Canis lupus familiaris: one gene and its partners. Each later gene encodes a partner of the first gene's protein in a complex. Links are inferred from orthologs where the notes say so. Each region holds a gene or a part of one and is shown in the gene's direction. Other genes may lie near its edges. The genes, in order: SF3B2, G-patch domain and KOW motifs-containing protein-like, SNRNP200, CWC15, RBM48, CRNKL1 and DHX16.

What was found.
Region 2: SF3B2 (region 1) and G-patch domain and KOW motifs-containing protein-like share a complex: the UniProt entries of both Homo sapiens proteins name them as parts of the minor spliceosome. The link is inferred for Canis lupus familiaris from reciprocal best matches to the Homo sapiens genes SF3B2 and GPKOW.
Region 3: SF3B2 (region 1) and SNRNP200 share a complex: the UniProt entries of both Homo sapiens proteins name them as parts of the minor spliceosome. The link is inferred for Canis lupus familiaris from reciprocal best matches to the Homo sapiens genes SF3B2 and SNRNP200.
Region 4: SF3B2 (region 1) and CWC15 share a complex: the UniProt entries of both Homo sapiens proteins name them as parts of the minor spliceosome. The link is inferred for Canis lupus familiaris from reciprocal best matches to the Homo sapiens genes SF3B2 and CWC15.
Region 5: SF3B2 (region 1) and RBM48 share a complex: the UniProt entries of both Homo sapiens proteins name them as parts of the minor spliceosome. The link is inferred for Canis lupus familiaris from reciprocal best matches to the Homo sapiens genes SF3B2 and RBM48.
Region 6: SF3B2 (region 1) and CRNKL1 share a complex: the UniProt entries of both Homo sapiens proteins name them as parts of the minor spliceosome. The link is inferred for Canis lupus familiaris from reciprocal best matches to the Homo sapiens genes SF3B2 and CRNKL1.
Region 7: SF3B2 (region 1) and DHX16 share a complex: the UniProt entries of both Homo sapiens proteins name them as parts of the minor spliceosome. The link is inferred for Canis lupus familiaris from reciprocal best matches to the Homo sapiens genes SF3B2 and DHX16.

What each region holds. Positions count from the first base shown.
Region 1 is NC_049239.1:51,711,978-51,716,535, reverse strand, and holds the start of SF3B2 (splicing factor 3B subunit 2), read left to right. Parts: upstream 1-1,535; 5' UTR 1,536-1,581; coding exon 1,582-1,714; intron 1,715-1,893; coding exon 1,894-1,940; intron 1,941-2,217; coding exon 2,218-2,295; intron 2,296-3,021; coding exon 3,022-3,270; intron 3,271-3,486; coding exon 3,487-3,537; intron 3,538-4,558. UniProt on the Homo sapiens protein: Component of the 17S U2 SnRNP complex of the spliceosome, a large ribonucleoprotein complex that removes introns from transcribed pre-mRNAs.
Region 2 is NC_049260.1:42,454,573-42,458,592, reverse strand, and holds part of G-patch domain and KOW motifs-containing protein-like, read left to right. Parts: intron 1-863; coding exon 864-1,077; intron 1,078-1,506; coding exon 1,507-1,639; intron 1,640-2,281; coding exon 2,282-2,408; intron 2,409-2,612; coding exon 2,613-2,736; intron 2,737-2,827; coding exon 2,828-2,897; intron 2,898-3,683; coding exon 3,684-3,769; intron 3,770-3,862; coding exon 3,863-3,997; 3' UTR 3,998-4,020. UniProt on the Homo sapiens protein: RNA-binding protein involved in pre-mRNA splicing. As a component of the minor spliceosome, involved in the splicing of U12-type introns in pre-mRNAs.
Region 3 is NC_049238.1:34,661,883-34,665,902, forward strand, and holds part of SNRNP200 (U5 small nuclear ribonucleoprotein 200 kDa helicase), read left to right. Parts: intron 1-255; coding exon 256-449; intron 450-1,005; coding exon 1,006-1,129; intron 1,130-2,363; coding exon 2,364-2,513; intron 2,514-2,754; coding exon 2,755-2,865; intron 2,866-3,615; coding exon 3,616-3,747; intron 3,748-3,912; coding exon 3,913-4,020. UniProt on the Homo sapiens protein: Catalyzes the ATP-dependent unwinding of U4/U6 RNA duplices, an essential step in the assembly of a catalytically active spliceosome. Plays a role in pre-mRNA splicing as a core component of precatalytic, catalytic and postcatalytic spliceosomal complexes.
Region 4 is NC_049242.1:6,114,815-6,119,497, forward strand, and holds the start of CWC15 (spliceosome-associated protein CWC15 homolog), read left to right. Parts: upstream 1-1,641; 5' UTR 1,642-1,772; exon of another isoform or gene 1,773-1,855; intron 1,856-1,970; exon of another isoform or gene 1,971-2,087; intron 2,088-3,218; exon of another isoform or gene 3,219-3,231; 5' UTR 3,232-3,239; coding exon 3,240-3,370; intron 3,371-3,927; coding exon 3,928-4,040; intron 4,041-4,683. UniProt on the Homo sapiens protein: Involved in pre-mRNA splicing as component of the spliceosome. Component of the PRP19-CDC5L complex that forms an integral part of the spliceosome and is required for activating pre-mRNA splicing.
Region 5 is NC_049235.1:18,074,558-18,077,459, forward strand, and holds the end of RBM48 (RNA-binding protein 48), read left to right. Parts: intron 1-21; coding exon 22-590; intron 591-1,941; coding exon 1,942-2,028; 3' UTR 2,029-2,256; downstream 2,257-2,902. UniProt on the Homo sapiens protein: As a component of the minor spliceosome, involved in the splicing of U12-type introns in pre-mRNAs.
Region 6 is NC_049245.1:3,686,149-3,690,168, forward strand, and holds part of CRNKL1 (crooked neck-like protein 1), read left to right. Parts: intron 1-960; coding exon 961-1,139; intron 1,140-2,185; exon of another isoform or gene 2,186-2,248; coding exon 2,249-2,419; exon of another isoform or gene 2,420-2,707; intron 2,708-2,982; exon of another isoform or gene 2,983-3,019; intron 3,020-3,371; coding exon 3,372-3,563; intron 3,564-4,020. UniProt on the Homo sapiens protein: Involved in pre-mRNA splicing process. As a component of the minor spliceosome, involved in the splicing of U12-type introns in pre-mRNAs.
Region 7 is NC_049233.1:613,422-617,956, reverse strand, and holds the start of DHX16 (pre-mRNA-splicing factor ATP-dependent RNA helicase DHX16), read left to right. Parts: upstream 1-1,335; 5' UTR 1,336-1,546; coding exon 1,547-1,753; intron 1,754-3,414; coding exon 3,415-3,659; intron 3,660-3,755; coding exon 3,756-3,915; intron 3,916-4,222; coding exon 4,223-4,279; intron 4,280-4,535. UniProt on the Homo sapiens protein: Required for pre-mRNA splicing as a component of the spliceosome. Contributes to pre-mRNA splicing after spliceosome formation and prior to the first transesterification reaction.

The sequences.
Region 1 (4,558 bases):
AGTGTGCTGACAAGCTGGAAGGGAGGGCATCATTGCGATTTCTTCTGTTCTTTCTGGGTTTGGCTTCTCCTTTGGGAGTGTCAGGAGACTCAGATGGTGGTGGTGATGGAAAGAGGAAGCAGGCTTGGGCAAGAGGAAAGAATTTCCTATTTAGGATTATGATGTGAGCAACCTTCCTGGCCCAGTCTGTTTTTGTTTCTCATAAACATATCTATCCTGGACCTGGCATCCCATTATTTTTCCCGTGCTCTCAGCTACTTCTCTTTGGAAGGCAGTCAGTGAAATGGAGCATGCTAGAAAGAAGATATGAAGGGTGTGTGTGTGTGTGTGTGGGTGTCAGGAAAATGAGACCACTTTACTTGAATTTCCCAGCTCTCACTCAACACACACACACACACACACACACACACACACACAGAGGCAATGAGCCTGCCAGTGAGAGGACAGGGCTAGAATGGGAAGAGGATCTCAGAGCTAGTGGCAGAGATGGGAAGAGAAACTGAATTGATGGGTCAGGATAGAGAGAGATGGAAGCTACACAAGCAGGGAACATCTGCTCATCCCTCCCTCAGGTGCACAGGCGGTTGCTGGTGCTGCTGGTGCTGTTGGGGCAAGGAAGGCAGCGTCGACTCTGCCAGTAGGCTGGTGGGGATAAGGGGAGAAAAAGTCCTGAGCTCATTTTTGGGACTAAAAAAGATGCATCCTGTCGCCCGAAAGATCGTTTCGTTTGTTTTCCCCATTAATCATTACTGAGCGCCTCTTGAACGCCAGGTGCTGCCGGACAGTAAAAAGACCAGGTCCCCTGTGCACGTTCTTGGGGAGGTGGGGCAAAGGGGCAAGAAAGAGTTTAAAACAAATGGTAGATGTTTGTACGTGTTACGGGAACTCCAAGGAAGGAAAGGAAAGCGGGAGAAAGGCTAGCGGAGACATCTGAGCCGGCCTGATAGGTGGAAAAAGGGGCTTTAGTGTGGCCCTTCCCCCCAGGTCGGCAGCTGGAGCTCAGCCCGCTCCCCTCCTGGCTCCGATCCTCTTTCAGCCCATTCATCCATGCGTGGGCCGGGGGTGGGCGGGCAGACAATCAGATACTGTTTTATCACAGGCATCGGCTGCAACCTCCCGCTTGGCGCCCACAACGCGCGGCCGCTGGCAGAATGAGTCCTTCAGGCCTCCCTGAGGAACGAAAGCGTCCGGGCCTCTCACGCCTGAGCTGAAAGTCTGGTCGGAAGGCTGGAGATCTGCGCTCCGGCGAGGCAGACGCAGAAAGGACGCCTTTCTGGCGGGACCATCTTGCCCCGCAGCCCCGCCCCTGCTCCAGCCTCCAGTGTTGCCGGTGCTTCAGCCCGGCACTGTGCTCCGGGAGCCGGACCCGCAGAGAACGGGACCTGCGTACTACAACTCCCAGAAGGCTTCGCGGCCTGGCATCCTGGGGACGCTTGGAGATCCGCAGGGTCTGGGCCGCAATGTGAACCGCCTGCCAATCCTCCAGCGGACGTGGCGTACGGCGCTGCCGGAAGTTCCGGCAAGTGGGCCCCAGGTCCGGTCCGGACTTCCGCGTTGGTCGCGCGCCTTCCTGCGGCTAAGATGGCGGCCGAGCATCCCGAGCCTCCCAAAGGAGAGTTGCAGCTGCCGCCGCCGCCACCTCCCGGTCACTATGGCGCTTGGGCTGCCCAGGAGCTTCAGGCCAAATTGGCGGAGATTGGAGCTCCGATCCAGGGTGAGGAGCTCGGGAGGTCAAGGGCCGGGGCAGCGTAGGCCCAGGGAGAAGCGGAGCCTGGTTACCCCGGAGACCCGGGGGGCGGAGGGAGGGGCGGAGGCGGACCGCTGGGGCCTGGCTTGGTCCCGCAGGCCTGCTCGGCCTGACTTACCCCGTTGATCTTGTGCTTTGCCCATCAGGGAGTCGCGAGGAGCTGGTGGAGCGGCTGCAGACCTACACGCGCCAGGTAAGTGTTGGCGGGACGTCAGGATAGGCCGAGTTTCTGAAGGCCTCAATGAGCCCTCAGGACTCGGTCTTAGCTTTTTATGTACCTTGCTGTTTCTGCTTGTTTTTTTACATTACCTGACCAGTTGTAAACATTTCTGTATATATAGGTCTTCTGCAGTGCCTAGCGCAAGCTCTGGCAAATGGGCAGTTGGTAAATTTTGTTGAATGAATGGGAGCAATGACGTTTTGTGGAACAGCTCCTCTTGGACTGACCTGGAGTCCTTTCTCTTTTGCAGACAGGCATCGTGCTGAATCGCCCAGTTCTGAGAGGTGAAGATGGGGACAAAGCTGCTCCCCCTCCCATGTCCGCACAGGTAAGGAGGTGGTTCTACTTTATAAGATGACTTCTGTTCAGGGCAGCTCCTCTCACAGTCAGTGTTTTGGGGATGCCACTAACAGATTGGACAGGGAGAAATGGGAGCTCTTCAGTTCCCCTTTAGTCCTGATCCTTACCTCCTTACCCAGTGTCTGCTTCTCCAAATACTACCTGTCATTTAAGGTTTAGCTTAAGTAATTTAGAAGCCTGACTTGATTCTCCTTCAGCTGGAAATAGCTCTTTTTTGCCTTACCAGGCACAGTTCTCATTTTGTTCAGTGAGACATTATGGCTCACTCTCTTATTTTATTTCATACCTTTTATATTTAGTGAGCCATTGGGACACACTGGCTCCAGTTTATTTAAGTCTTCTTAACTTCCATTTCCTTTCTGAGCCAGGATTTGAATTTTTCTCTAGGACAAGACTCTGATCTGGGATCTATTGACTTCTGTGGGTGGGAGGAGGAGTTCCCAGGTGGCCATTAGAGGTGTCCTTGGATTTCCTGAAATTGTATGCACAATCTGTGTTCATGGTTTTCTGGGGAGAGAGTCAATAGCTTTCCTTGGTTGGTACCCCAAAGTTAGTATTCTCTTCTATCGGTATTATATTTTTTTGAATGCAGGAATTGTCACTTGACTTTGAATTTTAGTACCTGGCTCATAGTACCTGCAAATGTCTGCAGTAGATAAACGGTTCCTAGTGTATGTTGACTTTTTTTCCACAGCTTTCTGGGATTCCCATGCCACCACCACCCATGGGACTCCCCCCTCTGCAACCACCTCCACCACCCCCACCACCTCCACCAGGCCTTGGCCTTGGCTTTCCTATGGCAGTTGGTCCCCGCCCACCAAACTTGGGGCCACCTCCTCCTCTCCGCGTGGGTGAGCCTGTGGCTCTGTCAGAGGAGGAGCGGCTGAAGCTGGCGCAGCAACAGGCAGCATTGCTGATGCAGCAAGAGGAGCGTGCCAAACAGGTAGGGGAGGTGGCAGGTTGGGCATAGGTCTCATCAGGGTCCTAAAGAGGATTGAAGCCTTAGAGAAAGCTGGATCCTGGGGCCAAGCCTTCTGGGAAGTCTGGACCAACGACTGGAACATAGACCCCAGGCTGAAAGAGGACCCCCAGAAGCAGTGTTGTGGCAGCCTGGCCTGAGGGGTAGTGGTGCTGATGTGAGTTTGTTTTCTTTTTTAAGCAGGGAGATCATTCACTGAAGGAACATGAGCTTTTGGAGCAGCAGAAGCGGGTAATTCCCTCCATTGGCTGTCACTTCTAGTACTAGTGTCCAAAACAAGATGCTCCATTCAAGTTTTCCATGGAGGTTACCTCATCCTTAAGTTCCAGTATCTCCCAGATAATCCCATCTTTTCTGGAGCCCAGATTGGTAAACTACAGACTGTGACCTGATTTTGTATGGCCTGCAAGTTAAGAATGGTGTTTCTAACTTTGGAGGATTGTTAGGAAAAAAAAAATTGGCAAACCAAGAACATACTGCAACCCTTGCAATGGCCCATAAAGTCTAAGATATCTGTTGTTTAGCCCATTACTGAAAAAGTCTGATAATTCGTATTAGTCTTATATGATTTTAGATACCTATGAGAGGACTCTGGATTAGTCAATTGTGTGGGATTTAGACTAAATGTGATAGAGGTAGTTAGAGAATAATACATGAGACATGCAGTCCCAGAGGTGCACTCTATCAGTTGTTCCCTGCTGCATTACTGGAGATATTGAAAGTAAGCATTAACAGGAATAGATATGAAATTATGAAGTGCTGATTTTGCCTAGAATGTGTTAGATCTTTTTTTTTTTTAATTTTTTTTTTTTTAATTTAGTTATGATAGTCACACACAGAGAGAGAGGCAGAGACACAGGCAGAGGGAGAAGCAGGCTCCATGCACTGGGAGCCCGACATGGGATTCGATCCTGGGTCTCCAGGATCGCGCCCTGGGCCAAAGGCAGGTGCCAAACCGCTGCGCCACCCAGGGATCCCTAGAATGTGTTAGATCTTAAGGAGCAGATAAAAGAATTCATTGTTCCTTAGACATAACTTAATCTCTTGGGGGAAAAGCTCTTGTTAAAAAAATAGAAGGCTGTGTGTAGTTAAATGTTAAATTCTCCGTTAGAAACCACGAGTTTCCCAGGTTTTTTTTTTTTTTTTTTTTTTTTTTGCGTGTTATTTGCAGGGGTTTTCTTTTGTGATAGAGGCCACTTCCATTTGGATCAATAGTCCAATCACCCTTCCAGGGTGGGGCTGGTGAGGATGT
Region 2 (4,020 bases), on another chromosome or scaffold:
GCCACACAGGCATCCCTCCTGTTTGCTTTTTGAAACTCTGTAACGGGATCCCTTCTGTACGGGGTTACCTTTCTGAGCATTAGCTTCCTCATCTGAAAAATGAGGGTAGTGACAATACTGACTTCCCATATCTGTTGCAGAATTACATGAAATTATGTACATAAAGCACTTATAGCAGGCCCTGGCCCAAAATAAACATAGATGAAACATTTGCTATTATCACACAGACTTTTGATCCCTTCTCAGTTTTCTGAACTCCAAAGAATTCTGAAAACCAAATATTTTTTTTCAAACATTTTTTCATAAACCATTTAGTAGCCACACATGACCTGAATTGACACAGAGCATTTTATAGTCTGTTCCTCCTATTTGGTGTGAATATTTGTATGATTTCCCCTGTAGAAATATTAGGGTATTATAATCAAAATCACAGAGATCTGCCTCAGATCCTGCTGTAAATAATATGTAATAGATGGTATACCCAGTGTGTTATTAGGTTGGACCAAACGAAATTGCTTTTCTGTAGATCAAAAACAGTCCTGGGATCCCTGGGTGGCTCAGTAGTTTCTAGCGCCGCCTTCAGCCCGGGGTGTGATCCTGGAGACCCAGGATCGAGTCCCACGTCGGGCTCCTTGCATAGAGCCTGCTTCTCCCTCTGCCTGTGTCTCTGCCTCTCTTGCTCTCTCTGTGTCTCTCATGAATAAAATAAAATCTTAAAAAAAAAAACAGTCCTAATGTGAGATCGGGAAGGATATTCTTGAGCATGTTGATGGGGTGGGATTTGGATGGCTGTGAGGGGACACTGAAGACTTGCATTCCTCCCCTCCCCAGCCCAATAAGCTCATATACTGTGTTGCCTGCAGAGTGGTGAAGCCCCGTCTCAACTTACTGAGGCCGAAGGGGTTAGGGCTGGGTGCCAACCTGAATGAGGTCCAGGCCCTAGTCCCCACTGGCCCCCACCACCTGCCAAAGCCAGATGAAGAGCAAGAGAAGGCTAAGGAAGACCAGCCTCAAGGACTGGTGCCTGGAGGAGCTGTGGTGGTTCTTTCTGGCCCTCACCGAGGCCTCTATGGGAAGGTAAGGAACCAAGCTATGCCTAGAGCCCAAGACAGGCAGCGGGGAAGTTTGATGTGAGGGTCAGAGGGAGGAAGAATTGGGCTTAGGGTGGAAAGGCTGGAAGTCCTTGTCTTTCAGGCCTGCCTGGCTTGCTACCTCATTTGGTAACTCAGAACCACTTGCTGGGCCTGAGTCTCAGTTTACAACTAAAAGAGAGAATGGCCATATGTGCCAAATGTTCCTGAGGCTTAAGTTCTTTAAAATATATCCAAGCCACACAGTCTGGTAGGGGAAACACATGAACCAGGCCCAGGCCCAGGCCTTGGGTCAGTCTGGTGGGGGAGACACAGGGGTCAGGCTTATAGGAGGTAAGACTGGACAGTTCGGTCCTAGGAATGTGAGTTTAGTCCACTCAGACCCTGCCTAACTTCGTCCTCCCCAACGCTTCAGGTAGAAGGCCTCGATCCTGACAATGTTCGGGCCATGGTTCGCCTGGCCGTGGGGAACCGCATGGTTACTGTTAGTGAGTACTGCCTGCGCCCTGTCTCCCAGCATGAGTTTGACAAGAACACCTTGGATCTCAGTGAGTGTGCCTCTTACCTAGCTGGGAGAGTTGGAGAAACATTCCAGGGGGCAGTAGGGGCCTGTACCTGGGGGTGAGGCTGGGTGGGTGTCAGATCTGCAGAGGGGAGGGGCAGTGGTCTGTCAGGCAGATGTGACTTCTGGTCAGAATCCAGGAGGTGAGAATGAAGATCAGTGGTTTATTCGGTTTGAAGAAAAACTGATCTAGTAACCCTGGGGCTTTAGCCTCTCAGAGAAAAAACAGGTGTGGAAACCTATTCCTATCCTCAGGAGGTCTCTGTCTGTTCTAGGTGATGAGCCTCTCTTCTTCTGGGTGTGAGGGCAGCCGGGACTAGGCCATGCCCAAGGAGAAAGGCATTCTAGGCATGGCAGCAGGATGGGGCGGTTTGACAGATGAGATATTGGTGCTGATGGAGCTCTCAGGATTCCCTAGCCCACCTTGGAGTGGCTGAGGAAGCCTTCCTGAAGGAAGCCCCAGCAGTTGAGGGGAAGGGGAGAGCATTCTGATGGCATAGGCAAAGTTGTGATGGTGGGAGGGGACATTGAGGCAGGTGGGAGGTGGCCTGAGGCCAAGGTGTAGCCTGCCAGGTAAGAGGCTCACACTGAGGCTCCTTCCTGGTTCTCCCCATACACCCTTGCACAGGCCAGATGAACAAAACTTCCCCAGGGCAACAGAATGGAACAGCCTCATCATGGAAGGCCCTCCGGGATCAGGACCTCCCCAGCTGGCGGGAGGACTCAGAGAGGAAGCGGAAACACCTTCCCGACCGGTGGGACCCTGGGCATCTGGGGTTGGGGGAGAAGGCAAGGCTGTGGAGGGATTCTAGCAGTCAGAGAAGGCTTCCCGGGCAAGGCAGGCACATAGAAGGAACTAGGGATGACATCAGGGCATCAGGGGTGGGTTTCACAGCAGCCAACTGTGGGGTGACCAGAACGTGTCTCATCAGCTAAGCCTGTGTTGGCCCTTTCCGCAGACAGGGGGAGCCCGCAGCCAAGAATGAGAAGGCAGGTCCCCAGAGCCAGCACTGGTTGCACAGGGACCTGCGTGTGCGCTTTGTGGACAGGCAGCACAAAGGTGGCCAGTATTACAACACCAAGGTGGGAACCCTGCAGCCTGGCTTTCCCCCACCCCCCCGGAACTAGGCCCCCATAACTGTAACACTCTCACATCCCGTGACCCTTTCTCCAGATGACCATTGAAGATGTCCTCAGCCCAGATACCTGTGTGTGTCGAACAGATGAAGGCCGGATTCTGGAAGGTGAGTCTGAGGGATGGCCACTGGGGTTTTAATCATCCATCCTAGAGGCTGAATAGGAAGGCTGTCTTCGACCCAAGAGGCTGGTGCAGGCAAAGGCTGGAAGGTTAGGCAGAGTTCAGGCATTTTGCACAGCCCAGAATCTTTTGACAGAATACGAGGCACTTCTGTGATGGTGATTATCTAAGCTGCTCTTTCCCCCTGTGATGGTGATTATCTAAGCTGCTCTTTCCCCCTGTGCACACTGGCATAGAAATGAGCTATTTCTCCCTCTGGGGACTGGGCCTTGTACAGATGTGTACTGAACTCCCCGTGCAGGGCAGGGCATATGACGTGCACACAATAAACGGTATCTGTTGTCATCACCCATCATTTTCGTGCATAAGTGCTCCTTTTTTCATAGTTCTTTCTTCTTTTTTTTCCCAAGATTTTATTTATTTATTTGACAGAGAGAGAGCATACACACAAGCCCGGGGAGTGGCAGGGAGAGGGAGAACCAGACTCCCTGCCAAACAGGGAGCCTGATGTGGGACTTGATCCCAGGACCCTGGGATCATGACCTGAGCCTAAGGCAGACGCTTAACTGACTAAGCCACCTGGTGCCCTATTATAGTTATTTCTAGGAACTGCTCCTTAGGTGTCCTCACCTGTGAGCTGGAGTGGGGCAGGGGGACTCCCACCTGTCAACAGGGTGCAGGATGGCTCTGAGGCATACAGGAAAGGCTTTCTGACAGGACCTGGGTGGGCTGGCCCTGGCCATGGGCCTCACTCCCCTTTCCTCATCTGCAGGCCTGAAGGAAAACATGCTGGAGACCCTGGTCCCCAAGGTCGAAGGCAACCGGGTGATGGTGGTGCTGGGGCCACAGGCTGGAAGGGTGAGTTCTAGACCTGGGCATGGGGTGAGGGGCATGCGGGGGCTGTCCTGGAGTCTGAATTGGCCTTGCTGACCTCACCCATCACTACTCCAGGTGGGCCGCCTACTAGGCCGGAACAGAGAACGGAGCCGAGCTCTGGTGCAGCTGCGGAGAGAGAATCAGCTGGTGGAGCTTCACTATGATGCTGTCTGCCAGTACATGGGCCCCAGTGATTCGGATGAAGACTGACCTGTGGCCCCACTCCCACCCCA
Region 3 (4,020 bases), on another chromosome or scaffold:
TACCTGAAGTATTAGATTTTCTTGCCATTAAGCATATGTTTCACTAAATTAGCAATGCAGCTCTCAGTGGTTACAGGAGAATATTTTCCAGGGTATTTCACAGTGAATGTTGTCCCACCCTTTGGGTTTCTCTTGCCTGCTCTTTTCTTCTTTATTTGGCATATGAGGTATATACCACAAAATGGGACTATTTTCAGGAAAGAGGACCACATTTTTCTAGTCCTGGAGATAATTTGTAGCCCCTTCATTACTTAGGATGAGATCCATCTCCTCCACGATGACAGAGGTCCTGTCTTAGAAGCTTTGGTGGCCAGGGCCATCCGAAACATTGAGATGACTCAGGAGGATGTCCGACTCATTGGTCTAAGTGCTACCCTCCCCAACTATGAAGACGTGGCTACCTTCCTGCGTGTGGATCCTGCCAAGGGCCTCTTTTACTTCGACAATAGGTATGAGAGAAGATGGGAGAAATTTAACCAGGGTGACCTTCCTGCTGCCCTATCCCCCTTTCAGGGAGCTTTGTTGGATTGGGTATTAGAAGGGTCTTTGGGTTTGGTTTCTTTCTTTCTTTCTTTCTTTTTTTATTTTTTCAAGTCCCATATTGGGCTCCCTGCGAGGAGCCTGCTTCTCCCTCTGCTTATGTCTCTGCCTCTCTCAGCCTATGTCTTTCATGAATAAATAAGATTTATTAAAGATTTCTTAAAAAAAAAAAGATTTTATTTACTCATGAGAGAGACAGAGAGAGAGAGAGGCAGAGACACAGGCAGAGGGAAAAGCAGGCTCCATGCAGGGAGCCCGATGTGGGACTTGATCCTGGGACTCCAGGATCATGCCTTGGGCCGAAGGCAGGTGCTAAACCACTGAGCCACACAGGTGTCCCGGTCTTTGAGTTTTGATGTGGTGTGAATCTAGAAAGGAATGTCGTTCCTGGGCAGCAAATATGACTGTTTATTTCCTCAGTATTCTGTGCTAGAAGCCTAATATGTTTAACTATTGAACTTCTAGCTTCCGCCCAGTGCCCCTGGAACAGACTTATGTGGGTATCACAGAGAAAAAAGCTATCAAGCGTTTCCAGATCATGAATGAAATAGTCTATGAGAAGATTATGGAACATGCTGGAAAAAATCAGGTCTGTCTGTGGTTTCTTGTTGAACTCTGTTCTTGACTTTTTGTAGTGTTTTGTTTTTAAAGATTTTATTTATTTATTCATGAGAGACAGAGACACAGGCAGAGGGAGAAGCAGGCTCCATGCAGGGAGCCTGATGTGGGTCTCGATCCCGGATCCTGGGATCACGCCTTGAGCCGAAGGCAGACGCTGAGCCACCCAGGTGTTCTTGACTTTTTGGTTTATAATCAGGCAATATCGACAAAAATAAAAAAGAGAGGATACAACACAGATCACCAGTATTAGGAATGAAATGGGATATTACAGTAGAATCTGTATCCAGGGGAAGGATAATAAAGGAATACTATGAAAAACTTCACACGTAAATTTGCCAACCTAGAAGAAGAAATGGGCCAGTTCCTCAAAAAGCACCATCTACTAAAACTCAGTCTAGATGAAATAGATAACCTGAATAGTCTCATAACCACTAAAGGAAATTGAATTTGTAATTTAAAAACTCCCAAAAATGAAATCCCCAGGTGCGGATAATCAGTCTGTCTCTCTACATTATCAGGGGTCCTTCTATAAAAGATTTGGGTGGTTGACACTAGAAATGTAACCTGTGAAAATACAAATAAAAACTAGTGAAAGAGGGCATTTTACTAGAAAATATGGTAACAATTTTTTACTCGAACACTGCTAAGTTCACCAAGACAAAAACTAAGGAAAAGTGAAAGGTGTATAGATTTTTGTCTGATAAAAAGCATTTGCATTTAAATAAAGAGACCAATCTTTTCTTGGCACTAAATACTTGAATGACTTTCCTACCAAATGGAGACTTACTTTCTCAGTCCTTTTATAAAGTCCAGTGCCCATCATTTAATACAATATTTCAGCTGTTAATTTACAGGCATATTCCTCAGGTGGCTTAGAATTGTGTCAGGTGCCTAAACACAAATTCGCAATGGAGATTCCTGAATTTGCATCCTTATTATATTTAAACTTGGTTTCAAAGGTAGAGTACTTAGAGCTTACTTTCCCAGCTATGGGACTCTGCCACTGTGCTTTGTAGTTTTACTTACATAAGGTCTTGCCGGCTTCTGAATCAATATACATTCCTGCCATTGCCCTTCTTCTAGACCTCGGTTTCTCACCATCCAGTAGTGTAGCCGCTGCTTCCTGTTATTGGTACCTCAGAGCCATGGAAGTGACTGTGGTAGCTGTGTCTCTTGACCGTGGCAAACTGGTTTTTCCTTAGGTGCTGGTTTTTGTCCACTCCCGGAAGGAGACTGGGAAGACGGCCAGGGCCATCCGTGACATGTGCCTGGAGAAGGACACTCTGGGTCTGTTCCTGAGAGAGGGCTCAGCCTCCACAGAAGTTCTTCGGACAGAAGCTGAGCAGTGCAAGGTGAGGAGCAACTGCCCCAGTTCTCTGTTAACTACCTGGTAGCTGGTTTAATCCAAGGTAGTCCATACAGTTCTCGACTGCATCATGATGGTACTGTATCAGACAGGTTAAGATTGAATGGCTAGGTGTGGTTATGTGGATTCGGTAAGGGGCAGGGTCTCATGTGAAGAGATCTACTTAGTCTCCATAGAGTTCCCACAGCGAAGCTCACCTAATCATCTGTTCTTTTTCTGTTCCACAGAACCTGGAGCTGAAGGATCTTCTGCCGTATGGCTTTGCTATTCATCATGCAGGCATGACCAGAGTTGACCGGACACTTGTAGAGGATCTTTTTGCTGATAAACACATTCAGGTGAGGGGGAGTAAAATGTAGGCTTTAGAAGACCTGCTTGTCAAATGCCAGATGTTTGTGCCCAGTACTTTGTTTGTGGCTCAGGGAAACCAGGTCATAAGGTTGTGGTAGTACAGTGGATACAATGTTGTGCCACGTCTTCCAGGTCTTTACCTACTGTGTGAAGGAAGGTGAGTGATTTGAGAAAAGTGTCTAAGCATAACAAAGGAGGCATGTTAGTGACTGCAGGTACCTCCAAGCAGGGCCTTGTAAGGTTGGGACCTTGTTTTCTGTCTCAGGATAGGGTATATTATTAATTGTCTAGTAATCTTAATGTTTAGGTTTACACTTTTGCCTTGCAAGTATCTCTAGAACCTTGAAATGTTCATTGTTGGGTAGATGAGGGGAACCCAAGGACTCTTTCCCTCTTTTTTTTTTTTTTAAGATTTTATTGATTTATTCATGAGAAATACACAGAGAGAGGCAGAGACGTAGGCAGTGGGAGAAGCAGGCTCCCTGTAGGGAGCTGGATGTGGGACTTGATCCCAGGACCCCAGGATCATGACCTGAGCCAAAGGCAGATGCTCAACCACTGAGCCACCCAGGTGTCCCGACTCTTTCCCTCTTTATTCTAGTGTTACCTTGACAAGTATGGAGCCTACCTCGGTCCTGCTAGAAGCTCTGAGGCCGGTTTCCTAGAGGACTTGAGGATACTAACCCTCTAGTGGTAACATATGTCTGTTTTCTTTATTACTTTTCTTGTTTCTGTAGGTTTTAGTTTCCACAGCAACACTGGCTTGGGGTGTGAATCTCCCTGCCCATACAGTCATCATCAAAGGCACCCAGGTGTACAGTCCAGAGAAGGGGCGCTGGACAGAGCTAGGGGCGCTGGACATTCTGCAGGTATAGAGCCTTTGAGGTTATTTTCAGTAAAGTATTCTGTATATAAAATGCAAGGAGGCCACAAAAGGTGGCACATGGAAGGTGGGGTTCTATGAAGTAGAGGCCTGGGAACAAATCCATAAACTCTGCGGCCACGGCCCTCTTGGTTTCCCATCTCTGACCTAGATGCTGGGACGTGCTGGAAGACCCCAGTATGACACCAAAGGTGAAGGCATACTCATCACATCTCATGGGGAGCTACAGTACTACCTGTCCCTCCTCAATCAGCAACTT
Region 4 (4,683 bases), on another chromosome or scaffold:
AACTTTGGTAGTATTCGGGACTACAAAAAAAATAAATAAATAAAGGAGGGCGACACGATGGTATTTGAATGTTGGGGGTGTGGGGAAGAAAATGAAGATGTCAGGGAAAGCCTCACTGATGCAGTGACATTTGAGCTGAGGCTTGAAGGAGGTTAACACGGTTATCTTGAGGCACAGGCAAGAGAAAACCCAGTGCAAAGGAAATCTTATCCTTTGTGAAACAGAAATGCCCTGTTGGCTGTGGCTGGAGTTCAATATGTAAAAGAACGTCTGATTAAAAGTGAAGTCAGGCAGATAGGCGGGAACCAGACCCCTTGGGTTCTCAGGTCACATTAAAGAATTTGACCTTTATTCTAAGTGCAGTGGGGTTTTTAGGCAGAAGAGTAACACTACCTGATCCATAACTTTCAAAGATCACTCTCACTGCTATCTGCAAAATTAACCGTATGTAGGGCCAGAGTGGAAGCAGGAAGGTCCATTAGGGAGCAATTATAATGCAGGTGAAAAATCCCAGTGGCTTGAACTAGGGTAGTGGCAGGGGAATGAAATTTTGGGTATCATACTTTAAAAGTAAAATGGACAAGTCTTGGAAATAAACTATATGTGAGGAGTCAAGTAAAAGGGATTTAATCAGGAGCCTTGAGGTTTTGGTTTAATAAGTGGTACCTGGCAGTGTCCTTTACTGAGACGTACAAAACTAGGGGAGAAACACCATCCCTAAGAGAAAAATTTTTTATCTTGACCTTCAGAAAGGAAGGGGCTGCTTCTACTTTTTAAAAGAATTTACAGGTTTCAAAGGAAGAGTTCTGGAAATAAAGCTTTTTAATGCTCGATTTTATGAGCTGTTTATATTTGACACCAAGTTGGAGATGCTGAATTTTCATCTGTCTAATATTTATTGAGCATCTACTGTGGCCAAAGACCATGTGATGAGATACCAAGATGGACTAAACAAACGAGCTCCCTGCTCCCAGTGCTTTTTGGAAAAGGGAGAACGGACGACTGGCGTTCGTTGTCTCATTAAAAGTTCCCCCAACGCCCGAGTAGCCATCTTCCAGGAACTGCATCTCGCGCTCCTGGCAGTTGGGCCCAGCGTTCCAAACGCTCATCATCGGGCTAATAAGTGAATCTCTAATAGTGACATCTCCCCTCCCGCTAGAACTCAGGCTTTTTTAAAAAAAAATGGAAATGTTAACAAACAATACGAATACAACCTTTGCCTTGAAGACTAGTATTTTTGCAGGAATGGTACCTTTATAAAGATCGTGGTTGCCCCCGTACATATTTGTTCTTTCTTCATATCCAATTAAATGAAAACACTAGTTTTTCCGCAGCCCACTCTAGGCTGGCTGGGTCTAGCTCAGGAGAGAGGAAGCCGGAGCCGTTGGCTTTAAACACTTGGGTGTAATCCTTCTCTACGCTCCCTCCCGCTAGCCGGGGACTCGCGGTCCGCTACCCGGGGCTTTCCGTCCACGCAGCGGCGGAACGAAGGAGGCTGGGAGGGGGTCGGGGAAGGGAAGGACGCGAGAGACATTAAGTAATTGGCTCTTGAAGGTATAAAACGATGTTTCGGGTCTACTCGAAAGCACGGATTTCAAACGCCCGCCCCCTGGGCCGTTTCGGCCCCGCCCCCCGCCGTCATCACGCCGACCTCCACCCCGCCTGCTGCCGATTGGTCTCCGCCTCGGCCTCGGAAGTGCGGCTGAAGAGCCGGGGTTTGCTTCCGGGTCGTGGGGCTCGGGCCCGGTCCTGGGCGCGGAGGCTGCTGGGAGGTGAGAGTCGTCATGGTGTCTGTGTGACTTGCGGAGGCTGTCGCGTTAGACCTTGGTCGACGTGTGCCGCGGGAGGGTAGCAGGTTGTCCGTCCCGCGCGGGTGGGGCGGGGAAGGCCGGCAGCGGCCGGAGTCGGCGGTAGCGGGCCGGGCGTGGGCGCAGGGGCCGCGGCGGGGGCGGGGGCGGGGGCGGGCGGCGGCCGCGGAGCGCGCAGCGTGAAGGCAGTAGGCGGGCGGCGGTAGCGGGGTCCACACCCCTTCCTCCCCCGAACCCCCTGCGAGTCGGGCCTCGGGGTGAAGAGCCAGCGAGCCTCTGGTAACAGCCCGAAGGCCAGCCCCCGGGAGGCGGGAGTGACCGAAATCCGGGAGTGTGCGGGCGGCGGCGGCGCCCCCAGCGGCAGGAAACCCGGGCTCTCTCGGCGCAGATCCCTTTTCCCTTTTTAAAAAATCGAGGGACGTACACTCAGTGCCCGCCTCCCCCACCCCGGTTCCCCGCACCTGGCTTTTCGGACGCTCGACGGGACTTGAGTAGCCACGTCTGCTAGGCACCCCTCTTGGCAGCCCCAAGCCAGAAGTAACGGAAGGGGTCCCCGAGTTTTGTTTATCGGAATCCTTTGGTGGTGACTTTCCTTTCATGAGCATCGTCACCTACAAAAATCTGCTTTGTATTCTAATCGTTGCTATAGAAGAAAGTTGGACCGACAAAAGGTTGTTGGAGAATCCTGCCCGTGTAACTGTCCTTAAAGTTTAGCCTACTTTACTCCAGGACACTCCGTAACCTTGTCGGTGATTTTAAAACAACCTGGTTTTGTAGTTAGTAGCCTGTTTTCTGTTGTATGAGGTTAAGTGCAAACCTTAGGGCATCTGGTGGACTAGGGTTAAGCTGAGAATTTTTTTTTTAAGATTTTATTTATTTATTCATGACAGAGAGAGAGAGACACAGAGGCAGACAGGCAGAGGGAGAAGCAGGCTCCATGGATCAGGCCCTGGGCGGAAGGCGGCACTAAACCACTGAGCCACCTGGGCTGCCCATAAAGCTGAGAATTTTTAAAACTCAGTGTTGGCAGTACTAAATTTTGCAAGGCTTTGACATTTCAATTCCTTTTTTTTTTTTTTTTTTGACATTTCAATTCTAATAATAACCCTGTGGGGGACATTGCCCATTCCTCAGAACTTGGAGCTGGATGACTTGCCCAGGGCCCCAGATACAGAAGGAGAACAGGAACACCAACTCCCATCTTCATGAGAGAATTTTTTGCCCTAAATAAGAGTTGCCTAAGAAGCTATATTCCTTATATACCCTGAGCTTCATTATGTGTTTTCTTGAGAACTTTTGTTTGAGATTATTAATTTTGGAGAATGAATTCTGGAAATTATTTCACAAGGATGAATATTATTAATATCTTATGAAATGAGAATATATCATATTGGAAATAACTTGATACAGTTTTTCTTTAAAGCATAAAAGATGACAACAGCAGCTAGGCCAACTTTTGAACCTGCAAGAGGTGGGAGAGGAAAAGGAGAAGGTGATTTGAGCCAACTCTCAAAGCAGTATTCAAGTAGAGACCTACCTTCTCATACAAAGATAAAATATAGGTAATGAAGACTTTTTATTTTCTTGTTCAGAAGACAAGACTAAATCTGTTAAATGGCATGCTCATGAGATTCTAGCGTGTTTGGGGTATATCACTAACCTATTTTCATAGGGATAGAATGCAATAGAGTGTTTAACATTAAAACTGTGCTCTGATTATTAAAACACTACCATGTACTACTTATGCAGAAATCCCTATTAATTGGGAATTTCCGTATGTAGATGGCTCAATAGCAGTGACCTCAGGGCCCATCCACTATCAGCACTACTCAGTGTGAGGTGAAAAGTGTCAGACTAATGAGCCCTGAATTGATGTACTAACAAAAAGTAAAGACATTTTAATTACTCCCCAGCCTTATGGGAAAATATGTGACTCAGTTTGGGCTTTCTGAAACGTTGGAAACATTACAAGAATGCCTGTTAGTGACCTTCAGATTAGGGTAATGATCTCATTTAGTTCCTTGAACTTGAGGACAAAGTGGCTTTTTGCGAACTGTCTTCCCCTGCTACAGCCATGTATCTTTTTAGTAATATTTTCACCAAATTGTTTCTGCTTTAGACAAACTACTCAGGATGCCCCTGAAGAGGTTCGCAACCGTGACTTCAGGAGGGAGCTGGAAGAGAGAGAGAGAGCTGCTGCAAGAGAAAAAAACAGAGACCGTCCAACAAGAGGTACCAACACTGCCCCCAGATATTTGTCATCATGAAATTATGTTGACAATGGTTTTTCTTTCATGGCTAATTGGAGCTGATTAATATTTTTTGTTTGCTTGCTTTAAAATGTTGGCGTAAACAATATAAAGTATTGTTTGCTTTAAGATTGGTAACACTTTCTTAAGTGATTAGATTAGAGTTGACTCCAGTTCCATCTCTTTGTGCTTCCTTAGCAGAAGGAACAGGATGATCTGGGGATATCTGGCAGTTCTTGTTTCAGTTTACGTAAAGGTTTTTGTCTTAAGATTTATTTGAGAGAGAGCACATGTGCATGAGCAGGGGGAAGGGCAGAGGGAGAGATAATCTCAAGCAGGTGGGCCTCAATCCCAGGACCCCAAGATCATGATCTGAGCCAAAATCAACAGTCAGATGCTCTACAGACTGAGCCACGTAGGCACTCCTAAAGGTTTTGACTGTTTACAGCAACGAGACTTTTTAAGGCTTCGTGTTTTCTCTATGTGAGGGTCTCCTGTTTTTGTCACTGGGTTTTGGAAGGCATCTAGGGGCATAAGTTATAATGTCTTTTTTGTATTTTCAACATATGTAAAGTATTCCCTAAATTCCCTGAGAGAGACTACAGTTCCCATATTAAAATCAATAC
Region 5 (2,902 bases), on another chromosome or scaffold:
CTTTTAAATTGTAATGTGAAGATCATTACATAACAAAGAAGAAACGGGTTACAGAGCTTAAAGACACAAAAGATTTCAGACAGAACTTCCATTCAGGGACATCTGGATTTCGTGCAGTCACTGTGAATACTTCTGCTGGCAACTCAGACCCTTGTCTTCCTTATTCTTGTGAATTGCCTTTATGTTATTTTTCCTCAAAATGTACATGTTCGTCAGGGGAACATATGGGTAAAGCATCCAACTTCTCTCAGGACAGTAGAAACCATGCTAAAACAATGGAGCATTGTATGCACAATGACTCTTTGCAGAAGATACAAATGAAACCTTTAAAAAATTCATTGGCCTTCCCTGGTGCACAAAAGGCTATTACTTCTTCAGAGGCAGTTGAGAGATTTATGCCTAGGACAACACAACTGCAGGAGCGGAAAAGAAGAAGAGAAGATGATCGTAAAATTGGAACTTTTCTTGAAACAAGCACAAGTAGTAATGAGGTTATGATTGGGCCTCTGTTACCAGACATACCTAAAGTGGACATGCATGACGACTCATTGAATACCACAGCAAATTTAATTCGGAATAAACTTCAAGAGGTAAGATCATTTTTAAAAAACTATTTTAAGAGACCATCTGGTCATAGGACTAACAGCTAAATCGAGATTTGTGGCAGCTAAAGTATTGTCATTAATTTTTTTCATTTTCAGTTTTTTTTTTATGTGTTTTTCTACAGTTCTGTTGAATTAACTGAATTTGACTTAACAGAAATGTATGTGCTTTGATGTCATTAATCCTTGCTTTAAACAATGTATTTCATATCATTCTAGCTCTAAACTATAAAAGCAGTGGTTTCAGTCAGTGAGGTTGGTCTGTGAGAATTGAGCCCAGGCCCTCCCTTTTTAAAGCTCCCTGGTTGGTTCTATTATGAGCCAAAGTACAGAACTGTTGTGTTGAAGGAAAATTACTACAACTTATTTCTTTAAAGTTATTACAAAATTACATTAAATTAAAATGCTTTTTTCTTCTTTGATAAAGATAGCCATAGAAAAAGATGAGATTTCTAAAGACTAGCCACTACGGTCTGCATTTCAAAATGTCAGCTCCTTAAATAGAATACAGCTCGATTGTACTACTTAAGTAGTAATTTCTTTACATATTATTTATGTAATCATTTTACATTTTCCAAGCACCAATAAAAGAAAGCTAACATTTGAATTAGCTTTTGAAAGATACCTTTTTTATGGGGCAAACCTCGTAGAAATCAAGCTGAGGAAGAAAGACCATTCTCTTAAACTTTAATCTGAGGTTCAGAGAGTGCTTTTTGTGTAATTGTATGTATATTTTACAGAGTGATTAAGGGAGTCTGAGGTGGCTTAGTTTATGTGTATTTTTTTTTTTACCTGAAAATTACTATCTCATTAAGGATGAGCTCCTATTTTATAATAACAAAAATCTATAAACGCAGTTTCCATGCTTAAGCCTCTTTTTAAAATTTTTAGTTTGTGCTGGCCCCCTTCCTTCAAATACAGCTGAGCTGAGGCATAGATAGAGATGCATAGCGCTCTCAGCCAGAGCAGACTGTATTTTCAAGAAAAAAAGTTGTTAGGTTCAATTCCTAAAAAGGAAACAGCAGAACAACAAAAATGAGAAATGCTTAAACACAACTTACTACAGATGCTAATAATAAAGGATTATTATAGAAGAGTACATATTTATTTTTCTCCCTTCAAATTTTTTTTCTTGTTAAATGGCTTTAGAAATTTTACTCCCATCAGTGTTTGGACAGAAAACTTTGCTCTGTAGGCTATACCCTGAAATTGGACTCACTCTGCCTCCAATGTGATGGCAAGATTTGAACTACTAGATGTAGATCCTACCTCTTCTATTAGTTTATTTATTCCTGTGCTATAAGGAATAAATGTTGGTGGTTCTCTTTTTTTAAACTAGGTAATTTCATCTGTGCCAAAACCTCCAGAAGACAAGCTGGAAGATGTGCATTCAAGTCGTCCATTAAAACAAAGAAGAAGAATATAGATTGCCAGCAGCAAATTATGTTTCCTGAGGGACTATTTATTATTTTTAGCCTGTCATTTTAATTCTTGAAGAGGTTGTACTGCAGGAATTTTCTAATGCATTCCTCTTTGTAATATCATTCAACCTACTTATTTAATAAAATTTCATCTTTTAAAATTAGTTTATCATGGACAAAATACATGCCAGCCAAATATATTCCTTAATAAAAGAAAACAACTTTTCCAGTGATTCTGGTTACATCTTACTAGCTAGAACTGGGCTCATGGCTGTTCCTAACTGGGGAGGTCTGGCATGGTAAATAAATGTTTAGGTTTTCTTTTTTCTTTTTTCTTTTTTCTTTTTTTTTTAAGGTTTTCAACTTCTGTGGTTGAGGAAGCAAGAGAAAAGGGGGTTATGAAAGGCTTATTCACAGGATTTGCCTTAAGATCTAAGCCTTGTTGGCTAACTTAAAAAGTAAAATTAGTTTATCATTACTTATAGGTGTTATTTTGATCATACTTAATATTACAGAAACTGTTCTTATTCTCACATTGCAGTAATTATAGGTAAATGAAGTGAAGCAAAGATAAAAACTTTAGAATGCAAGTAAAGATAGGCAGTCAGGATCTGCTTCTGATTTTAATACAAGTATTGAGTAATTCACATTCAAAAACTAGAAGTCAGGATGTGTCTGAATGCCAGGGCTTCAAAATCAATACAATTCTGTAAAGTAAAAAAAGGTAAACTATTAGAACAAACTATTAGAAAATGCTAACCACTACCCTTAGCATACCCACATTGTTTTTCCTGTCAGGGAACCACATAATTGGAATTTGGAATAATTATGTTCACTCTTTCCCTTTTTTTTTTTTTTTTTAAGTGATAAAAATAACTT
Region 6 (4,020 bases), on another chromosome or scaffold:
CGAGCGCAATAAGCAGCATGGCCAGGGTCTCTCAGGTAGTAATGGAAATGGGCTTTGAACCCAGCTGTTAACTTCGTTGCCATATTTGAACGTATTACTATGGAATTAATGATTTCCTTAAGCGAAGTAGATGAAAATCGATTTAATCTATTAAGATATAAAATAATTCAAAACTTTCTTTTGTATGTCAACCATATTTCAATAAGAAAAGAGAAAAACCTAAAAAATTCTTCTCTTTGCCAATACTTAGCAGTTTTGTTTTTGTGAGATTTTTTTCTTAGTCATTAATTGAAATATTAATGTTATTGAGCATGTAATAGAGTAGGTGCCATTTGTTGAGTGGACACATTCTTTTGGCCCCAAGCTGCAAGGGATTTTACACACATTTCCTCCTTTAAAGCCACTGAGTTGGGGCATCCTGGGTGGCTCAGTGGTTTAGTGCTGCCTTCAGCCCAGGGTGTGATCCTGGAGAACCAGGATCGAGTCCCATGTCGGGCTCCCTGCATGGAGCCTGCTTCTCCCTCTGCCTGTGTCTCTGCCCCCCCCCCCTCTCTTTCTCTCATGAATAAATAAATAAGAAATCTTTAAAAATAAATAAATAATACCACTGAGTTGGGTTAGTATTATTTTTCTCTATTTACAGAGAACCGAGTCTTAGGCAAGTTAAATGAATTGTCTAGGATGGCATGGTTTATAACAGACCTCAGCTTTTTCATTTCTCAAAACTCCCATTTGTACCCACTACAGAAATACTGAATAAGCACTGGAGGAAGACAGATGAACCAGACACAACCCCCTGCCAGAGGTTACAGATTACCGGTTCTTCACCTTTGCAAATGTTTTATCAAACCCTATAGTTTGTATTGTTGGGGGTTTGGGTTTGGGTTTGGGTTTGTTTTTGTTTTTTTGTTTTTTTAAAGCCTTGTTGTCTTACATGGTATTTCCTTAATTCCCCTGAACTTGTTCTCGTGCACCCTGATGTTAAGAACTGGATCAAGTATGCTCGCTTTGAAGAAAAACATGGTTATTTTGCCCATGCACGGAAAGTGTATGAGAGAGCTGTTGAATTCTTTGGAGATGAACATATGGATGAACACCTTTATGTTGCCTTTGCCAAATTTGAAGAAAATCAGAAAGAAGTAAGTACACTTGAAGAGCTCAGTTATATTGCAGAACAGTTTAGGAAAGAATACTTGTGCACATGGAGTTCATTCCATTTTCTTATTCACTTATCCTTGGAAAAAATGTTTCCAGAATCTCTCAGAGAACAGCACACATGTGGCTTAGCTGCAGATTGGAAACTGAGCAATTTACACATTGTACTAAAGTGTCCTAATTGTATTGTCCTTTTTGAAAATTCAGCTTTCATATCTATGATGAGAATATTGTATGTAAACTGAAAGTTCATCATTTGCTCTCCTCATAAAAGGGCTTTACAGGTAATAAACCTGGAGAACAGAAACCTTTAGAACAGAGAACAGAATTTGAATGAAAACAGAGGTTTCCCCACAAATAAATCGGTTCTGATCTTCCATAATATATATGGAAATAATCCCTTAAAGTAACTCAGATACTACAGGATCGAGAGAGATGGGCTAAGGTCCAAATACAGGGTCAGGCCAGTGGGAATTATGAAGGGTTTGAAGCATAAGAGTGGTAGGATGTGATTTATATTCTAAGGAAGGCCTCTAGCTAATCCATGTAGACTGTATTGGGGAAAACGATGGTGAAAATGGAAGTAAAGGGACTTTTGAAGTGGTTGCGGAAGAAATGGAGATGGTTTGGGGGTGGGGGGGGTACAAAGAGCCATGTTGAAAAGGTAGAGGTGGCAGGGCTCTTTGAGGTAGTGCATGTGGGGAATGAGGACAGGAAAAGAGTCAAGGAGGACTCTTGGGGTTTGGGGCTCGAGCAAGTGCATGACTGTAGGTATTGCTTACAAAGACTGGGAAGACAGAGAGACCCAGGTTTGATGGTGAGAAAAAGGAGGTCAGTTTGGGACCTTTTTAGTCCTAGATGCACAGACGATACCCAACTGGCAGTGTTAGGTAGACAGTATTAGGCGTGGAGCTCAAAGAAGAATATTGGTGTGCCCCAACAAATACCTCAACAGGAGGGAGAAAAAAGTCTTTTTTAGGACATTTTGAAACCACACAATCTTACAGGTAATATATTATGTCATAATTACCTTCCAAGTTGTTGCTAGGGTGAGAATATTGTGTTGAGAAGTAATCCTCCTATCTGCTTTTAGTTTGAAAGGGTACGAGTGATCTACAAGTATGCCCTGGATAGAATTTCAAAGCAGGAGGCCCAAGAACTCTTTAAAAACTATACCATCTTTGAGAAGAAGTTCGGTGATAGGCGGGGTATTGAAGACATCATTGTGAGCAAACGAAGATTCCAGTATGAGGAAGAAGTGAAGGTGAGTGCTGATGCGGACGCTGACCCCTGTAGGTAACAAACATGCTGACCAATAGCAGCTACAGTGAAGGGAAGAATAGCAAGCAAGGACTCCCAGGGATCATGCTCTTGCTGATACGTCTGCAGTAATTGGCAGCCACTGCAACAGGAATCAGCAGGGCTCATAGAAAAGGCCAGCAAGCAGCGCTTGGGTTTGCTCTGCCACCAACATGTTGAAAGTCACTTTGCTGCTTGCTGATTGTGTACCGTAGAACTTGAGCAAATACTGGGAATCCATTTGAACTCATTTCTGAAAAAGATGGACGAGTCAGAGATTGAGCCAAATAGCCTTTGTGCACTACCTTTTAGCTTAACTGCTTGAACAAAAGATGTACTGTAGATATGGTTCTCTTCTCTATCTGTGATGTACTATTTTGTTTCAGATTCAAAGGCAATAGTGTTTCACTAATCTGCTGTGTATCTTAAAGCTTTTGCTAAGTCAAATTAATTAGGATATTGCCAAACAAAGGACTGGGTCCTGTGTTAAATGAGGTCAGTAAGATATATTCAAGATAAATGACTTACTGGAGAAGGCAGATTTCACATTTGTGGCCATGGTTCTGATTGCACTGTAATTTTAAATCTAGACATCATAATGATAAGCAGTCACATATATAAACAAATACATTCATAAAACTAGGCATCTGATTATTGAGTAACTATCTTGAGGGTGGTGGTTGTATATGAAAGCGGCCTTGCCGTGGGACACCTGGCAAATAATCTGTCCTCTATGTTCCTTTTTCTTTTCTATTTATAGGATCTCAGGAACAGTATTTTTAAATGAGCTAGTATGTGAAATCTAGAAAAACAGTTGCTAACATACAGTCAATCAAGGGTGTTCTTTTTCCTCACAGAATCCAGTGAGTGTAGCTCTTGGTTTGATTTTTATTCATTAAACTTAAACGGTCTTTTAGGCTAATCCACACAATTATGATGCATGGTTTGATTACTTGCGCTTGGTGGAAAGTGATGCAGAAGCAGAAACCGTTCGAGAAGTCTATGAAAGAGCCATCGCCAATGTGCCACCCATTCAAGAGAAGCGGCACTGGAAGCGTTACATCTATCTGTGGGTCAACTATGCACTCTATGAAGAATTGGAGGCCAAGGTAAAAAGTGGACTTCCGCATCAGCTATTGATGGCTGCGTCACCTCTGCGGGTATAAGTCTGCTGTTTTGGGTAGCGGTGGGTATGGACATGTGCGATCCCTGAAACAGGAATCTAGCTTTAGATTCTCGGCCATACAGTTACATACTCTCTCTGCAGCCTTGCAAACTCTTAAACCTGTCATTGGTCCAGGTGAGGTATTTTGTTGTATTTTGTGTTTCAGACCTGAGGCACAGGATTATCACTTAGAACTTCGGAAGGGAACAGTAAAGCAGCCTTTAGCTTATTTTGTGTCGTTTCCTGGGTTTCCTCCTCAGTAGGGATCACAGCTAGATCACACATCTTTGCTTTTAGTAAAGATCAAGGGGGGTTTTCAGAAATCGGCTGTGTTTAAATTAATTGGGAAAGATAAGCTTTCTGCTACTGATCTGAGGCTATAACTCATCTTTGTTTCTTTC
Region 7 (4,535 bases), on another chromosome or scaffold:
ACAACAAAGGTGTTAAAACAATAAGCCAGTTTAGAGAGTATGGAGGGAAACAATGCTTATACTCGTAGCTAATTAAATAAAGACCCTAATAGTTGTGACCCAGGAAACCAGAGGCAGGAAGCTCTGAGACGCCAGGGGTGCCCACAGTCCATCTCAGAAACAGAAAACAATGCATCTAAGAAGCCAGTGCTGGGCATGCCCCCCGGTGGCGCAGCGGTTTGGCGCCGCCTTCGGCCGAGGGCGTGATCCTGGAGACCCGGATCGAGTCCCACGTCGGGCCCCCTGCAGGGAGCTCTGCCTGCTTCTCCCTCTGCCTCTCTCTCTCTCCTCTCTCTGTCTCTCATGAATAAATAACTAAAAATCTTTAAAAAAAGAGAGAGAGCGAGCGAGCGAGCGGGAGGGCAGGCGCCGGTGAGGGCCGAGGGAGAAGCAGGCCCTCTGCAGAGCGGGCTGCCTGCGGGGGGGCTCCCTCCAGGACCCGGCATCACCAGGGCATCACCAGGGCAGCGGAGGGCAGACGCTCGACCACGGAGCCACCCAGGTGCTCCTCTGCTTATTTTTGTTTTTGTTTGTTTGTTTGTTTTTGTTTTTTTCCTCTGCTTATTTTTGAATAAGCACCGCCAGTGAATTTCTCAAGCTGTTAACAAAATGCAGAACACAGTTTACACATTCCTGAGATCGGAGGTTTTTTTTTTTTATTTTTTTATGATAGTCAGAGAGAGAGAGAGAGAGAGAGAGAGGCAGAGACACAGGCAGAGGGAGAAGCAGGCTCCATGCACCGGGAGCCCGACGTGGGATTCGATCCCGGGTCTCCAGGATCGCGCCCCGGGCCAAAGGCAGGCGCCAAACCGCTGCGCCACCCAGGGATCCCAGATTGGAGGTTTTTAAAGCTGTTTCTTGCTGCTTGGAGGTCCTCGCTTGTGTCTAACGTGTATTCGTTCTTGCCACAGGTACTGGCACGAGCAAACGTCACTCCTAATCAGCATGGGCTAATTTTCATCAGCAGGGACCTAGCCTTTCAATTTGAAATAGAACCTCCCCAAACCACACACAAATCTTGCATTATTTTTGGCCCCATACTTTATTTATTATCTACCTTGCCTCCCCCTCCTTCAGTAAGGGATTTTTGTCTGATAATTTGCCACATCCCCAGCAACTAAAACTGCTTAGCACACAGCATTTGTTGAATGAATGCGTGAGCGAGGTATCCACAGACTGACCATCAGAGGGCGACAGAAAGACTTGGTGGAAACGGAAACGAAACGTCTCACCCGTTCGGCGGTTCCGCGAGGTTTGACTTCGCTCGGCCGCCGTAGTGCACAGGCCGGAAACGACTGGCCGGAAACGACTAGTCGTTTCCGGCTTCTGCGGTCCGAGAAGACGGTTTGGGGCTGTGGGAAACCGAGACCCAAGGGTCAAAGGCAGGTCCTTTGCGGAGCTGGGACTCCAGTCCAGGGCTCCAGGCCTGCAGGCCTCCGACGAGCCCAGCCGCCAGCGTGTTTACTCGACATAGTTCAGGGCCAGGAACCGGGCAGCGTGGGTCACCATGGCGACGCCGGCTGGGCTGGAGCGCTGGGTGCAGGACGAGCTGCACTCGGTGCTGGGGCTGAGCGAGCGGCACGTAGCCCAGTTTTTGATCGGTACCGCGCAGCGATGCGCCTCGGCCGAGGACTTCGTACAGCGCCTGCGAGACACCGATACTCTGGACCTCAGCGGACCGGCTCGCGACTTCGCCTTGAGACTCTGGACCAAGGTGTCTGCAGGGGCGGGGCGGGGCCCGGCGTGGGCGCGGCGGGAGAGCAGGTGGAGCGGGGGCGGGGCCCCAGGTTGTCTATCCAGGTGAGGCTAGGCTAACTGTCCTTGGGGGAATTAAGTAAGCTCGGTTACACCAGCACCTAGCTTTTATCCGTTGTCGCCTGGGTACTGTACTAGGTGCTGGACGTGCAGCTCTGGGGAGAAGTTCAAGGACCGTTAGGTGCTGTAGAGCAGTGTTTCACGAACTTTAATAGGCCCTTGTTTTAATGTGGATCCAGATTCGATAGGTTTGGGGTGGGATCTTAGTTTTTGCATTTCTAGCTAGTTTTCAGGTGAAGCTGATGGTCCACGGACAGCATTTTGAGTAGCAAGGCTATAGAAGAAATGTGTGAGAAGTGCTGTGGTAGGGCACAAAAGGTAAGGGTAGTGATCAGGGGAAAGCAGGCCCAAAGATTCCCCGGAATCTGTCTGATAGATAGAGAAGGGGGAAGGAGTAAAGGTGTAAAAGTGAATTCCTGGAGGACAGGACTGTGTATTGCTTGTCTTTGTATTTCTTCCACCTGACAACACCTTACAGAACAGGTGCTTAGTAAGTATATCGAAGAGTGAAAGTGTTCAACGTGTTCCTAGAATGGCAGGTAGCCTGCTTGAGTTGTCACATATGGTTCCTGGTGAAAGATGAATTTAGAATCTAAGTGATATGAGGATAGGGACTTTATGTAAATCCGTGTAGCATGTATCCCTGGAATCTGGTACGGTGCCAAACATATGACAGGCCTCTGTAAACCAATCCTTGTAGCATGTCAGTCCTTGCATCGTGATGACTTAATTGTGGGGAAGAACAGAGTCTGAGCAATTGAGAATTGGTTTTGAGAATGTAGGGACTTGCCTTTGTCCCAGGGCGTGATCCTGAAGTCCCAGGATCGAGTCCCACATCAGGCTCCCTGCATGGGACACCTTAAAAAAAAAGAAAAAAAAAAAAGAATGTAAGATAAACTCCATGAGGGCAGGAATTTTTATTTATTTATTTTTAAGGATTTTATTTATTTATTAATGAGAGACACAGAGAGAGGCAGAGGGAGAAGCAAGCACCATGCAGGGAGCTCAATGTGGGACTCAGTCCCAGGACTCCAGGATCACGCCCTGGGCGGAATGCAGACCCTCAACCGCTGAGCCACCCAGGCAGGAATTTTTGTCTTGTATTTATTCCTGTGTCCTTGATCCCTAGCAAGTACCTGGTGCATCAGACAGGCTTCAATAAATGTTTGTTAAATGAATGACTGCAAGGAGGTTCAGAAGCTGAAAGGCCCAGTTCAGGCTGATGAACATGGTGTGAAGCCATGAGGAAAAGAGACAATGAAGGTTAGTTTAAGATCAGGCCATTCCAGGCAGCCCGGGTGGCTCAGCAGTTTAGTGCCTCCTTCGGCCCAGGGCATGATCCTGGAGACCCAGGATCGAGTCCCACGTTGGGCTCCCTGCATGGAGCCTGCGTCTCCCCCTGCCTGTTTGTCTGCCTCTCTCTCTGTGTCTCTCGTGAATAAAAAAATAAAATCTTAAAAAAAAAAAATCACGCCATTCTTTAAATTTCAGAATGGGGCAAAGTAGATGGGTAAAAATCAGGAGTTGCTCACATCCCATTATCTTCCCTTCTACTGATAGGTACCACGGAAGGCGGTGGTAGAAAAGCCAGCTCGGGCGGCCGAGCGAGAGGCCCAAGCCCTGCTGGAAAAGAACCGATCCTATAAGTTGCTGGAAGACAGTGAGGAGAGTAGTGAGGAGACCGTAGGTAGAACTGGGAGCAGTCTCCAGAAGAAGCGTAGAAAACGGAAACACCTCAGGAAGAAATGTCAGGAGGAGGAAGAAGAGGAGGAAGAGATTTCCGAGAAAGGGAGAAGAAAGACAGGGTAAGTTAGAAGCAGAGTGAGAGAGGGTGAGGCAGGGGATAAGGGGGCAGTAAGCTTCCTAGGAGACCTTATGTAATCCTTTGGACTGGTTTGCAGGGGGAGTCAACAGACTGAGAAGCCGGAATCTGAGGATGAGTGGGAGCGGACCGAGCGAGAGCGCCTTCAGGACCTGGAGGAACGTGATGCCTTTGCTGAGCGGGTTCGGCAGCGAGACAAGGATCGGACTCGCAATGTCCTGGAGCGGTCAGACAAGAAGGTGCATAGGAGCAGCATGTTCTGTAAATCCCCAAGAAGATCCCTGGGTCAGATCTGAGGTTGGGTGTGATTGCAGAGATAGGGCTCTCTGGGAAGACCAGGGTGGCCTCTGGAGGTGTTCATCTCTGTAGTAAGAGGACCCAGAAGGGTCTGCTGATCCTCTGCTCAACCTGTAGGCCTAGAGATTCCCCCCTGAGAAGGGACATTTCTGTATGCTATAGTATATCCAAATGATCCTTGTGATTCTAGAGAGGGAGTGGCTGTGGGAGATTTTGGCCTCATAGCCCTGCACCCTTGGATTCTTCTAGGCTTATGAAGAGGCTCAGAAGCGCCTCAAGATGGCTGAGGAAGACCGGAAAGCCATGGTGAGTCCCAGCGCCCAGGGAGCCAACATCAGAGGGCAAAAGGAAAAACAACTTTGTGATGAAGTGGTTTAGGGTAGGGAAAAAGGATACAAGGAAGTACAGTGAGGGTGCTGATGGGGTGTCAGGTCTGGGGTGTGAGGTCTGTGTTGACAGGAGCCTGCCAAGGACAGACTTAAGTTGTAGAGGGAAAGAAGCTACCTACAGACCCTCCTGACTCCTTAGGATTGAGTCCAGAGTGTTTTCGTCAGGGAGATGT